Linked DNA regions of Arabidopsis thaliana. The protein of the gene in region 2 interacts with the protein of the main gene of each other region in a pairwise test. Each region holds a gene or a part of one and is shown on either strand. Other genes may lie near its edges.

Region 1 (6,127 bases), on a different chromosome or scaffold from region 2:
GTTTAGACTTGTAAGCTCTCCTTGAATCACTCTTTTAGTCAATGTGAAGCTTTTCGGGTACCGAAGAAGAAGCAGAATCATATCATCTTGTAAAAGAGGAGGCGTGTCATGTTCTTTAACCCATTTCCATGGATTAGAAGAATCAGATTCATCACGAGAAGGTAACATTGTTTCACCAAGCATACACAAAACTCTTTCATCATCATCATTCTCAACGTAAATCCCTTGAAACGAGATCTTAAGCTGAGTATGACTTGGCCATAACTCAAACTCACGGAGCCCATAAGATCTTAAGCTTGGTAATTCGCTAAACATTGTGATCGCGAGAAGCAAAACACCATTGACGCCTATGTATTTCTTGGTTCGATGTGGGAGATCTAGATCTGTGACTGAGAAAGAAACAAGATTCATAGGCTTCGTCGACGAGTTTCTAAGTGTGTTCGTTGAATCAAAAGGTAGAATCGGAGAATCACCAGAATCTTGATTCCAATCTCCGTATCGAAAACCAAGATTCCTTTTTGATTTTCTAGGAGTTCTAGAGATATCTTCAAGCTTTAATTCAGAAGCTGAAGATAACACTGATTTGCACTTTTTCTTCACATCATTGATACGATCGTAACTAATCTTAGGTGCGGATTCATCTCTGTGTTCGCCGATTGATTCAAACATAGGTACGGGCTCCATTTCCGAGAAGGAAGCAATTACTAGAGAAGAGAAGAGGAACCCAAATGAGAGAAAGAGCAAAGGAAGGAGATTTATTACCGTTTTCATACTGACAAGAACAGAAGAAGCTCTTGTTGTGGAGAAAAAAGACAGGAACTTGCGAGTCGCGACAATTGATTTCGGGACAAAGATGGAAACTTTGATTAAAGGGTTCGGAAGAGAAGAAGAGGAAGTTGGGAACAATGAGGATTGATGTATGGGTTTCTCTGTAATATTCGATTTGGTGAAGAAGTTACATCACTAGTGACGATGACACAGATCGAGAGAGAGACAATTACACTCGAAGTTAAGCAGAACAGTGAACAGAGAAAAGTCTTTGGAATTTTCTTTTAATTTATTTGAACAATTAGTTCCCCTTAATTATTTTTCTTTTAATTTACTCCAACATTTGCATTGTTTTTTTCCAGTAAATAAATATTAATGCTGAAAATAATTATATATATATATATATTTGATATTTTTCATAGACCCTCAACTAATCATCTCAGATGTTTTCCGTTGTCTAACTATATAGTTAATAAGAATGAAAAAAAATTAATCATTAACATTATATTTCTAAATTTATATCTATATTTAGGTCATGTTAAAAAATACGAAAAATCCTGACTAATTGGTTAGATATTAATAGTAATTAGCGCATAACAAAGTTTTGAATAAATAAAATGATTTATCTAAATATAAATGATTGTTATCACAATTTTTAGTGGTTGGTTCAATAAATTTATGCGTGAGTGGTTGACTTGACTTTAAAGATGGAAGAGGCGTGTTCGACGGGATATGTTTTAAGTGAGATCCCATTAGTCATTGACCTCGACTTACTTTAGTTTTCTTCTCAAGTCTTTGTTGTTTTCTTCGAACCATAAGATACGTCAATTTCATTCGTACATATATAGAAGATAATTTAGAAGTAGCCTTTTTCAACGACAAATATTTTGGGCTTGATATTGTTTGGGCCGAAATATTTGGCCCAAAGAGCCGCTATAGCTAATGCAGGTTTATAGATAGCAGCTGAGGCTGAAAGTGAAAGACAAAAAGCATTAGGAAATTGAAGAGGAACAAACCAAGACAGTGAGAAACCAAAGAAAATGTCTTAAAACCTATTGTAGACTTGTAGTGTTTCGAAGATAAGAAACTAACTGATGATAAAACAGAGAAACAAGATGTACAAGAATCTAAGATTCTAAGAGAGTCTTGGATAAGATAAAAACCATTGTGAAACTTGACCCACAAGCCATCGATATGACTATATGAGCTTACAAAATGTACAAAATATTAGATTCAGACACAAAGACTGAAGAACAAATGCACAAGAAGGCAACAACAAGAACAGAAACTAAAGACGGTTTTTCAAGACATAGATTTTCTCCACCTAGAAGGTGTTCTTCCTTTAACAAGCTTTGTCATCATATTACCAGGCGTTTGAGTCACATACTCAAAATTTTCACCTTCTCCATTATTACCAAACTCTTCACCATTCGTGTTTTCCACAACGCTAACGCTTAAACCGCTCCTAAATCCCAACTTCTTCCACCTAAAAAAACCTTTATTCCCACTAGTACAAGTTCCTTTCTTCTCAACCAGCTTATGTAACTGTGTTTGCATCGCTTCACACTCGCACTTAAGCTTCGCCATATCTTCTCTCAATCTTCTTATCTCTGCTTGCTGAACATTAATCTCGCGTTTGGACGTACACCGCGCAGGACCAGAATCTGAGTAGTGTGAACCAGAAGGATTAGGGCTGCTCCTAACGCCACTGAACGATGAACCACTCCATTCAATATTGTTGTGGCTGCGATGACTCAGCTTTGCCTGTTCAGAGAACAAAACTTGAATAATAGTTCTAACCGGTAAACGATCGTTCTGTGCAGCGTGAAGAGATGCCTCCATTGATAGCTTATTGCTGTCTATTAGTCCACAAAGTCTCTTCCTTTCTTGCTTGGTCACGTTAGGATGTGCCTAAGTAACATAACCAAAATTCAATTTGAATAAAACCCATCACAAATTATATATGCTTCAAATTTTCGATTTTTTTACTTCTACTATGTAAAATAAATATAAATGTGAGACGGGCCAGTCCATTCATTACCAATTAATTTTAAGTCGTGAAGCTCATTGAACTTAACATTTACCTTGAGATAAGTGTCAATTGCACGGTATAACCCATCTTCGGTTACACGAGCATGGTTAGGGAGAGCTTCGACGAGAGATATAAACTCCGAGAGGGTTAAATCGCCGTCTAAGGCGGCTTCTGCTAAGTAAGAGTCCACGAGCTTCGCTACTTTAATTAGGGAAGCACCGGATTTAACTCCTTCGTTGTCTAAGCCAGCAAATTTCTTAACCAACCGAGTCATGAGCTCGACATCGAGCAATGTCCCACACGTGTGACTAAAGGAAGGTATCATTAGCTCCTTGAGTGAAGCTTGATCAAGCTGCCATGAAATCCTCGCCTCGAGCTCCGCCTTGTAATTTGCATCTGCTCCGACCATGTTCGCGGTTCTGAGTAGACGGAGGAGGAAATCACAAGGAACGGAATCTCTCTCAGGTGGGATGATTCCGATTAGAGTTTCGACGAAGGAACGTTTCTTCATCACAAACGCAGTAACAGAGAAGCTCTCTGACTGCTGCTGCGGCTGCGGTTGCTGGTCATCGGAGTTTAGGACGATGTCGGAGAGGTCAGGGAGCCATTGGGAAGCGTAATGAACGATGATGGATCCAATGAGATCAGGACGAACACCTTTGGATTTGATTCCGGCGATGGTTTTGACGAAATAATCAATGCCAAGAATGCAACCATCGTCGAACCAAGAACACTCCATTTTTCCGGTGGAGGTTGACGGAGATTTGGTGGAGATGGTGGCAGATTCCGGCGAAGATGTTTTGTCCATGTCTTTGTTTTTTTCACGGTGGAAGTTGTAATGTGTGTAAAGTGGGTTTAGTTAGTTTTATAGAGTGTGTAAGCAATTACGTTTGCTCTGTTCTTGAAAAGTCTTACATTGAAACGTCGTCCTCTCATCATGACTCAAAGGTACAATTCCAAAGGAAACAGCAAATTCTTGCCATTTCCTATAAAAACAATCAACTTAGATTTTAGAAATCCAAAAACAATTATGAGATTTTTGTAGGAAAATTTAGGAATTTTCAGGCCCTAGAAGAAGTTATTCCAACAGATGATGTATGATTTATTCGTTATGATTTATGAATGAAAGAAACAAACTTAATATGATTATGTTACGTATAACTCAAACTTAATAAGCTAGAAGACTTAAACAAGTTGATTTGTTTATAAAATCTTTGGGAAAATTTCCAAAAAAAACCCGAACTATTTAAAATCTGCTAGAAAACTAACTGAACTTTTTTCGTTGTCAGAAAAATACACAAACTAATTTTGGGTGGAAATAAAATACACGATTTATTATGTTTTTCCAATTACTCCTTTCGCCGTAACAGACCGTTAACGACGTTAACCAAATCGTCAAATACTGTTAGTTTTATTTACAAAAAATTATTGGAAAAAAACCTAACTTATTTAATATTTGCCAAAAAAATACATAAACTTTTTTGTTGTCATAAAAATACACAAACTAACTTAAATTAGAAATATAATACACGATCTATATTTATTTTTCGATTTCCCTAACCAAATTGTCAAATGTTGTTAATTTTATTTACAAAATATTCTTAAAAAAGCTTGACTATTAAAACAATCCCCTAAAACCTTAAGTTCTTGAGTAATATCAACCAAAATCATGGTGTTGATGGGTATGTTTTATCCTAAATTACTAAAATTGTTTTTTTTATATCTATCATGTATCTAGATTCGATGTAAGCAACAATAAATTAAAAAAATACCCCCTTTGTTAACGAAAGTTCTTTTTTTTTAATTTCTTCAGTTTATTGTGGTTAATTTCTGAAATGGATATATGTGTTATGTTAACACTAGGATTCAAATAGGTTCACCATAGATTATGGGTTTATATGGGTTTAAAATCGGCTTTATCGCCACTCTTATTTACCACGTGCAAAGAAAATGAAAAAAAATTGTATTTTTATTTTGTTACCTTTTTGTAACCATTACGACAAAGTGAGTGAAATTGGAACAAAAAACTACTTCATACTCTTTATTTCAACTTTAAACTAGTTTGTATATATTTCTGGCAGCGAAAAAAAGTTCGGGTATTATTTTGGCAAATATTAAATAAGTTATGTTTTTTCCAGAAATTTTCTATAAATAAAATTGAAAATGTTAACCGATTTGGTTAACGCCGTTAACGGCCGTTACGGCAAAGGGAGGTAATCGGAAAAAAATAATAGATTGTGTTTTTTATTTCTAACCCAAATTAGTTTGTATATTTTTTTGACAACGAAAAAAGTTCAGGTAGTTTTCTGGCAGATTTTAAATAGTTCGGGTTTGTTTCGAGAATTTTTCCTAAAATCTTTTGGTGGTGATTGATATATGAATATGGGAATAATAGAATAGTATGGGAACATTTGACCCAAACAAATTTGCTGAATAATTACAGAATGTTAAGAACTAGTTTTTGTAGATTTATTATTTTAAACATGCATACATGAATCATTTTTAAGAAAACTTGCTAAATATTGTTAATGATGAAAAACAACGAAATCGCTATTTGAAAATGTGAAAACTTGATGAATGTTGCGAATGTTGAAAAATCACGACATCACATTTTAAAAACGTAAGAACTTGATAAATGTAGTGAATGATCAAAAATAACAAAACATACTCTTCAAAATGTGACCAAATGGTATTATCAAAATGAATATTCACATTGTATGACAGTATGAATCCACAAATTTTATATGATCACGGAAATTCAAGCCTTGGCAATTAAACGACACAGAAACATTGAGATATTTTACATGTATAAAAGATATGCGATGGGCCATATCTCATATAGCTGTTTGGAGAATACAATCCTACCGTTGGAGAGGAGGATTGAGAGGCTGAGAAGAAGATAGAGATCATAAAGAGAAAAACAAAAATCGAAAAATGTTTCCATTAATTCCAAAAAAAAAACATATTTAGAAAATATACATAATTTCACAAAGGGAAAACGTGGGAAAAGATGGACGTGTCCTCAATATATATTTTCTAGGACAATCAACGTACGTGTGAATCAAAAAGAGTTAAGAAAAACAAACAAATGACATTAAACATTTTTTATTCTTTAGTTTGATTATGAAGGCCACATAACATTGTATTGTATGGTTTCTGTTTATACGATGACCTTTGTCCCTTGTCCTACTGTTATTATACATCGCAACCATAACCACTAGCCAAAATTAACAATTACTTCTATTTTGTTTCCATGCATGTTTATTGTCTCAGTAACATGTTACTCTGATAAAATAGGATTTCTGTAATCTTTTGATATATTTATGA
Region 2 (7,643 bases):
ATTAACGGATTCATTTATTCTCAAGAACCCAAAAGCCATCCACCGGTTTCTTCAGTGAAAGTTAAAGAAAACGATGAAGCATCTGCAAAGAAGCGGCCTCATTCAGACTTGAAATATTTGGATAAGATTTTGAATGTACCAAAAAGGGAGGTATTGCATGAGGTTGATGATGTTGAACAAGAATGGCTATTTGGTCAGTCAGGTAAATTATTAAAAAAGCAAAGAGCAGATTCTGCTGAATCTACTTCATTGGTTGAGAATCCGCAAGTTTGGAACCAAGCTCTTAGGATAGAATCTGCTGATATTATAGCTCTTCCATACGTTGTCCCATTCTAGTTTTGATTGGAGATGTTCATTGATTTCAACACGAGAAAGGTCCTCCCTCACATCTCCATTGTTGTGACTCTTTACTCGGTTAAACAACATCCCAATGACGTTGTTGATACACTGATAGCCCGTCACCATTGGAATGGGAGATGTTGCGGTATGACTGGTTGGCTTCATAATGAGAAAGGCTTCCCTAGTAGAACAATTCAAGTCAGTAAGGTATGTGTAGGTTAGAGTAAAATCTTTTCGAGAGTGTGATTGTTGGAAATGAGATTTGCGGTAAGCATCTGATAGACTTTTGGTTCAGTTTTGATTCGGCTGTGTCATCATCAGAAGATGGGTTTAGCATTAAGTTGTATATTAGAGAGGATATAGAGAGAATAGGGGAGAGATCTTATAAATTACCCACTAATACATTACAATTGTATCTACTTTGTTTCCCCTTTTCTGGGTCAAAGTTATTCTTGGAATCCATACAAAATCTTGATCGTCTCTTGTGTACAGATAACTTTGTCTTCATCCTTTTTCTCTTAGTACCATTTTTGGAAAGAGAGATGTTTACACTCAAGCTCTGGAAACATAACAGGATTGAGTAATGCTTTATAAACTTTCAAATTTCAATATCTCTTTTCATTCTAAACAAAGTCCAATGTAGTAATAGTATGGCTAACAAAATCTATCTATATTAAGAGAATGTCACACCTAACATAAAGATAAATATTCATTTTCCATGTAGAAACAAACAAACCCATGAAGAAGAATCAAAACCAAGAAATCATTGGTTTGCTTCCGAAGTTTAGCAACTTCCGAAGTATTTATCATATAACAAAAAAAAGAGAAGACAAGCAGAAGCATAAAAAAAAGACAACAAACAGACATGAAACCATCTCAAAATGGAGAGCTTGACTCTGTCTTCAAGGCATTAGTTGTATGGATCTTGTCTAGAAACATCGCTCTTGCGGAATTGTCACTCGAAAACCGACCCAAAACTGCGATTGTCGCGGTGCTGCTTCCAAACTTCTCAATTCCTCTAGAGATCATACAAGTATGCCCAGCTTCCGCCACAACAATCACATCCCCGCCAACAAGAGGCGATAGCGTTTCAGCGATCTGTCGAGTCATCCTCTCTTGCACTTGAAGCTTGAACCCATAAAAGTGTACAATCGCTTTCATGAGTGAACTTCCAACAGGGTTGGGGTTGGATCCTTCAGCACAAAAGTAGCCAATATGAACAACTCCATAGAAAGGAAGCAAATGATGTTCACACATTGACCAGAAGGGCATGTTCAGCTCACAGTGCAGCCTTTTCTCTTTGACCTCGCCATTGACTTTGGCAGGGTTAAAGCTGTTTAGCTTCATTTCGAGGTTGGTTCTTTGGAAGTTCAACATCCATTTGAGGAATCGAGTTGGTGTAGCAATGAGTTCTTTCCTCAACGGATCTTCTCCCAGTGATTTCAGGATGGAAACAACAGCAGAAACCATTTCCGGGTCAACTTCAGGTGATAATTTAGACGAGCTTTTAACGCTTGGGCACCACTCTTTCACAGAGCTGCCATTTCTGCACAAAGCTTGCGTTTTTACACCTTTGAACATCAAGAAACTCTGAAATTCACCCCAAAGATTCGAGCTTTCATCCTCGAAAACTCCTGACCCCGAGGAAACCAGTAGCTTCACAAATCCACGGTGGCTAGACAAGTTCAGAGAGTCCAAGTCCAAACTGGGGAAGTGAATGTGAGAGCATTCAAGAACAACAGCGACTCCAGCTGGTTTGACCCAATGTTGGAGAGCTGAACAAATATCATCAGCCAAACGCTGAGGGTCTTGGAGCCGCTTGGCGAAAACATCAGTGACTCTAGAGAACTTGCTCAGTCCTAACACTCTCTGGCCCGATGGGACATAACCTATGTGACACTTGACATGAAAAGGAAGCAAGCAAGATTCACAGTAAGAGTAATGATCGAGGTCTCTGACAACAACAAGTCCTCCGACTCCTCCTGCTTGCCCAACTCCTTCATCCAACCCTGCTTCTGGAAACAGAGCACTCTGTACATAGTCCTTCACCTTTTGCTTATAACCTGAGAAAAAAAGCCACCAAGATTGATACTTTCCACATTCTAACTTATTTCACCAATGGAAACAAAAAAAAAGGGAGATCCTAATAGATCATAACAACAAATAAGCCAAGTAACAAGCTACTACACGGGACATAAACTAACCAGGGTCAATAGCTCAAGAACAGAGTTACTTATAAGATGAAGAAAAGAGCAAGAGATTCATAGTTACCTCTGGTCCCTTCACGAAGGGCCTTGGCGACACGGAAAGGAGTCTTTTTGATGCCTTCCCGATTGACATCTTCATGAAGACCTTGCAAGAGAAGTTTGACAGCGTCTTGGATTGCTAAAGTCTCAGGTTGGTGCTCGAAAGCAAGCTCAATGCAGCCATTTTTCATTCCAATGTCGAGCTCCAGATTCAAACATCCCTCATCTAATGCGCCCATTTGACAAAGCCACCAACCAGATCCGAATCCACAAAGGGAAAGTACCCAAAAACAACAAAATCACAAATCAGCAATACTCGATCCCCAAAACGAGAATCCGTACAAGTTGGTGACTCTTTTTCAAATCCGGAAATCTAACGAATCGAGTGGTTGATGTAATAATAAATCACCAAATCAGGTAAGAGACAAGGAAAATAAAAAAAAAATCGAAAATTTGAAGGTGCCCACTAAAATTCACAACACAACGAATCTTCCCAGGAAAAAAAAAAAGTGAATTTTCCCGGAAAGATGAGAAATTTGAGAAACGGGATAACACGCGGGTGGGAAAGAAACGAAGGGTTCCCGTTGATCCAGGAATATGTGGATTCGTAAAATCGTTCATTTTATAATTTAACCTTTCGTGTTATCCGAAAGCGTAATGCGATTAAAACTAATGACTTTTTTTCTTTTCTTTTTCTATAGACTATAGTCTTTTTAGTGATGTTTAAAACAAAAATTATTTAAAAAGGCAAGGCGGCGAAGACTTTTCGAATGCACCAAACCTTTCAACATGTTCTGTCCCAAAATAATAATGTTACCGACCAACCTAGCTAGTAACCCACTTGATTCTTTTCCTTCTTTTTTTTCACCTATTTGTGGAAATAAAAAATCTACATTACCAGAGATGGCAGAAAAAACTATAGATGATAATCTCCAAATCAACTTTTTAAAATCATATTCTCTATCTCTTGGTTTAATGGTTGAATACGTCACCGGAACTTTTCTTATAATATGCTCTGATAGGGAATATCAATTGCAAGATTATATTTAAAGACTCTACCTAACCAATCTAGTAGACTAATTTTATTAGATCGGTCGCTCTTTATTAGTATATACTCTAACTGAAACTAACTATATTATATGTATCTAAAATATATATAATCTAAACAAAAGCAAAACAAAATTCCAGATTCAGCATTCGTAAAGCAGAATCAATGAAATTACAAAGTCATTTTTAAAAAGTAATCAAAGAAACGAACTATTTGTATCATGATAAGTTTCTACTGTTATACGTAATACGTTTACGAGTGAAAGGATAAGAAAACATTAGAGATTTTTTTATAAGTTTTAGTTTCAGAAAGAGAACAAAAAAAGCTTTCTCTTGTTAGCTTGAGATGAATATCTTATTAGATCAAGTGGAAAGCGTTGCCTTCCTCAAGCCGACTGAGAAAACATGATGTATGAAGAAAAAAAAAACAGATTTTCAGACATTAATAGAGATGATCCTCTCAATGCAACATGGTTTGGACTTTGGAGAAGAAAGACTACCAAATCGATAGTGGAAGAGCATTGATAACTGATTTACATATACAAATGTATGTTAATTTGTAGATATCAAATGTAAAATAAGGGCTGTGTAATATAATTGAAGAAAGATAGGACAAGGAAAGTACCTTTTGTATCCATGGCAGAAGAATGGTTTATTGTACATTCTTGTTCTTTGTGTTTAATTTGATATATATAGCCAAAGTATACAAAGTTCATAAGGAATGTGTTGAGAAAAAAAAAGAGTTTTGGTGGAATCATTCATATATAAGGAGACATATAGACATAAATAAAAATTTTAAAATAACCATATATGTACAGACATAAAAATAGTATTTAATCTTTGAATATATCTACATCATTATCCACCAATATATACCATTTAATCATTAGATATCATTTACATAAAAATAAGTTTAATGGTGATTACTTATTTTTGTTTTAGTGTTTATAATAAGTACATTATCTTTGACAAATAAGAAAATAAATTATTTTTAATAATATTTACATGTTATTTTATGATAAGTTTCCATTTTACATCCTAAGCAAATATAAGAGTAATTAATTATTGAGCTAATTAGATAGATAACAAAAATATGTGACAAAATCATAACTAAAGTGCATAATGAATATGTTAAAATAATGTGCTATATTTAAAATAAATTTTTTTTTTAAAATGTAATACAGTATCATTAGAAATAACATTAAATGTAAAAAATAAAAGTGCATAGTTTTAAACTATTGAGGGTATGTTGCAAAAAAAAACAAAAAAACAAAAAAATCTTCCATATTCACTTTTGGTAATTTGTATAAAAAAGTTAGTCATCTAGTAATAATTATTTTAATTATTTCAGTTTTCCATTAATTATAAGGTCCATTAAAAATTAAGTTGTTGCCCCCAAAAATGTTATAAAAAATTAAGTAGTTATTATTTATTATTTTAAAATAAATTAGATAGCCCATAGTATCCAGTGGTGATTAAGAAATTTGGGGAAGTGAGTGAGGCTAGTAGGAGTTAAATGGGCTTATTCTATGCCTCAAATTGTTTTTTTTTTAATCATATAACGGAGAAAAGGGGAAAATATACGATTTCAACCCAAACTATATCTATCGTACATATTTATACGCTAATTAAACTTACCATGAACACAATTTTTAACGCCAAATAAGGACTATTTAAATGTGTTTCACGATATATCTTGTAGATCATGTTGTATTTCGTAATAAATTCATTGTTCAATGTTCAGGTAATAATTGTTGTCGTAAGGTAGTTAGAGAGTACTTCACCAAAAAAAGAAAGTAGTTAGAGAGTATAATTATATTAGTTCGGACTGAAATATGTTTTTACTCGTATATACGTATAATAATCGACCATTTTCAAATACTTTTCGTTTTGAAACAACTTGCAATATAACATAAGAGGATGACATAGCCATATCATTAGCACATACCACAATTATTAACACATAGATATCTCTAAAGTAGGTAGTTCCGTAATTAGTATTTAAACAAGATCATCTCCAATATTCCATTTTTTTTACGGACCATCTCCAATGTTCATTTTTATATTATTTTTTATTTAAGAAATTTTTTTTTATATAAAAAATTTTAGTCCATTATATATATCTAAAATAGAATTTTCTCTAAAATAAAATAAAGGCACATTGAATTATTCTCTATATTTTAAAATCTCCTTTAAAATAAAATAAAATATGCATTAGAAATGTTTTAAATCATATTTTCACTTATCCGCCTAGGCTTTTAACATATGTTTACTATTTTAATTAATGCTGTAATTTTGAAAATCCAAATAACTTCTTGAAAAAGACAAAAAAGTAAAATAGTGTCTGTAACCAATCACTTTTATAGATTTAAATTTGGTCGGATTAAGATTTTGAATTTAGAAAATAGCCTTGTATCTGTATCTAAAAAAAAAACAACGTTGCATGCCACAAGCACGTTTTCCTATTGTTTCTTATATCCTTTTTAATCAAACAAAATTGGAAATTTCGAGGTGATAAGAAAACCAAATACAAGAATCTTATCAAAACCTAGGTTAAATACTTACTAATTAATTTTGATGCTAATCTAATTTTGTAGCAAGGGTAATGACTAATGAGCCTGGAAACAAACTTCAGCTTTACAATCACTGTGAGTTTGTGACTGCAGCAGAAGATTAAAAAAGAAAAGAAAAGAAGAAAAAAACTTCACTCAATGATTGAAAAAAAAAAAAAAAAAACTTCACTCAATATATATATATATATATATATATATATATATATTAATATTAGCAACTCTAAGCACCAACTTCACTCACGTTATCATATGCATCAGTTTTTTTTTCTAAGAATTTTGTCATGCATCAGTCTTTTTCTATTGTTTTTGTAAGTAAAAAAAAAATCGAAGAATCTTACCAAAACCTACGTAAAATACTAAATAGTAATTAATTTATCTCACAAAAAAAACTTAAAACTATCACTCAATAACTTAGGGAGATTTCTCTGTATATTGTTTTAACTTTTAAGTAATAATTTGTAGACAAATAAACATGTAAGCAAGTGCAAGTTGTACGGCAGCAATATATAAAACGAAAGTTGGTACTAAAGACGAAATTATTGGAAAAAAAAATAATAAATGTTATTGCGAACAGCCTAGATCTTGACCACCGATAAAACAAGAGAAGAAAGTTGATTTTTGGGTTTGAATAAAGTGGTTTCAATTTTCATTAGGCCAAAAAGTAAAAACTTAATAGGCTCAAGTTTGTAAAATAAACTTCTAATTTGTGATGATCACTCTTGTGATGTGTTATGTGTTAAACTCCAAACGTTTTTGAATGATTGTATGTGTTGACTTTTAACAGTGTATGCGTTGACTAAGTGATGTACAGTAATGAGACGGGGAAAATCATACTAATATTTCCTTCCGACAACTTTATCTGTACTATGCATAGTACTTTTGAGACAACTTTATCTGAATTTTGTATAGTATACTTTTGGGTTGTGATATATTTTCTCGTTTGATTTTTCTTTTCAACTAAATAATATGCAAACCAAATCCGCTTTCGCCATAAGAAAACAACTAAAAGGTTAAATTTACCCGAGAGTGTATTAATGTTGAATAGCCATATAGGCTATAGTATGTATATGGCTGAAAATAGCTTATGCGATTTCTTGAAGAGAGAGAAAAGGTTAAATCCGAGAGTGTTTTACTCATCAATGTCATTGTCATTCTACATATACAACGTAACAAAGAAAAGCGAGAAAAACTTAATCCGACGAGTCACCAAGGTCAAAACACCTAACACCCACTTATACACTCATTACGTGGAAACATAAAAGATATACTACCAATCATCCTGCTCCTGCACTAACAATCATCTCGATGATTATGAGAGTAGGGTAACGAGGGAAACGAATTCAAGGGTAACTCTTCCCTTTGATCTCGTGTTGATGACGAAATGCTCCGGGTATTTTCTCAGCAGCATCAGCAAACCGTACCATGGTTTACCTTTTGC

Evidence for each region.
Region 1: the proteins of AT3G07270 (region 2) and AT1G52770 interact in a two-hybrid assay, tested with the Arabidopsis thaliana proteins (one large-scale study listed by BioGRID).

What each region holds. Positions count from the first base shown.
Region 1 is NC_003070.9:19,653,490-19,659,616, reverse strand, and holds AT1G52770 (Phototropic-responsive NPH3 family protein), read right to left. Parts: upstream 3,787-6,127; 5' UTR 3,609-3,786; coding exon 2,853-3,608; intron 2,680-2,852; coding exon 2,071-2,679; 3' UTR 1,822-2,070; downstream 1-1,821. Other genes in the region: AT1G52780 (PII, uridylyltransferase (DUF2921)), read right to left, coding at 1-771.
Region 2 is NC_003074.8:2,310,632-2,318,274, reverse strand, and holds AT3G07270 (GTP cyclohydrolase I), read right to left. Parts: upstream 4,278-7,643; 5' UTR 4,271-4,277; coding exon 4,258-4,270; intron 3,844-4,257; exon of another isoform or gene 2,825-3,843; coding exon of another isoform or gene 2,812-2,824; coding exon 2,611-2,811; intron 2,403-2,610; coding exon 1,216-2,402; 3' UTR 1,087-1,215; downstream 1-1,086. Other genes in the region: AT3G07273 (uncharacterized protein), read left to right, coding at 349-561. UniProt on the Arabidopsis thaliana protein: GTP cyclohydrolase 1 is the first enzyme in the biosynthetic pathway leading to folic acid.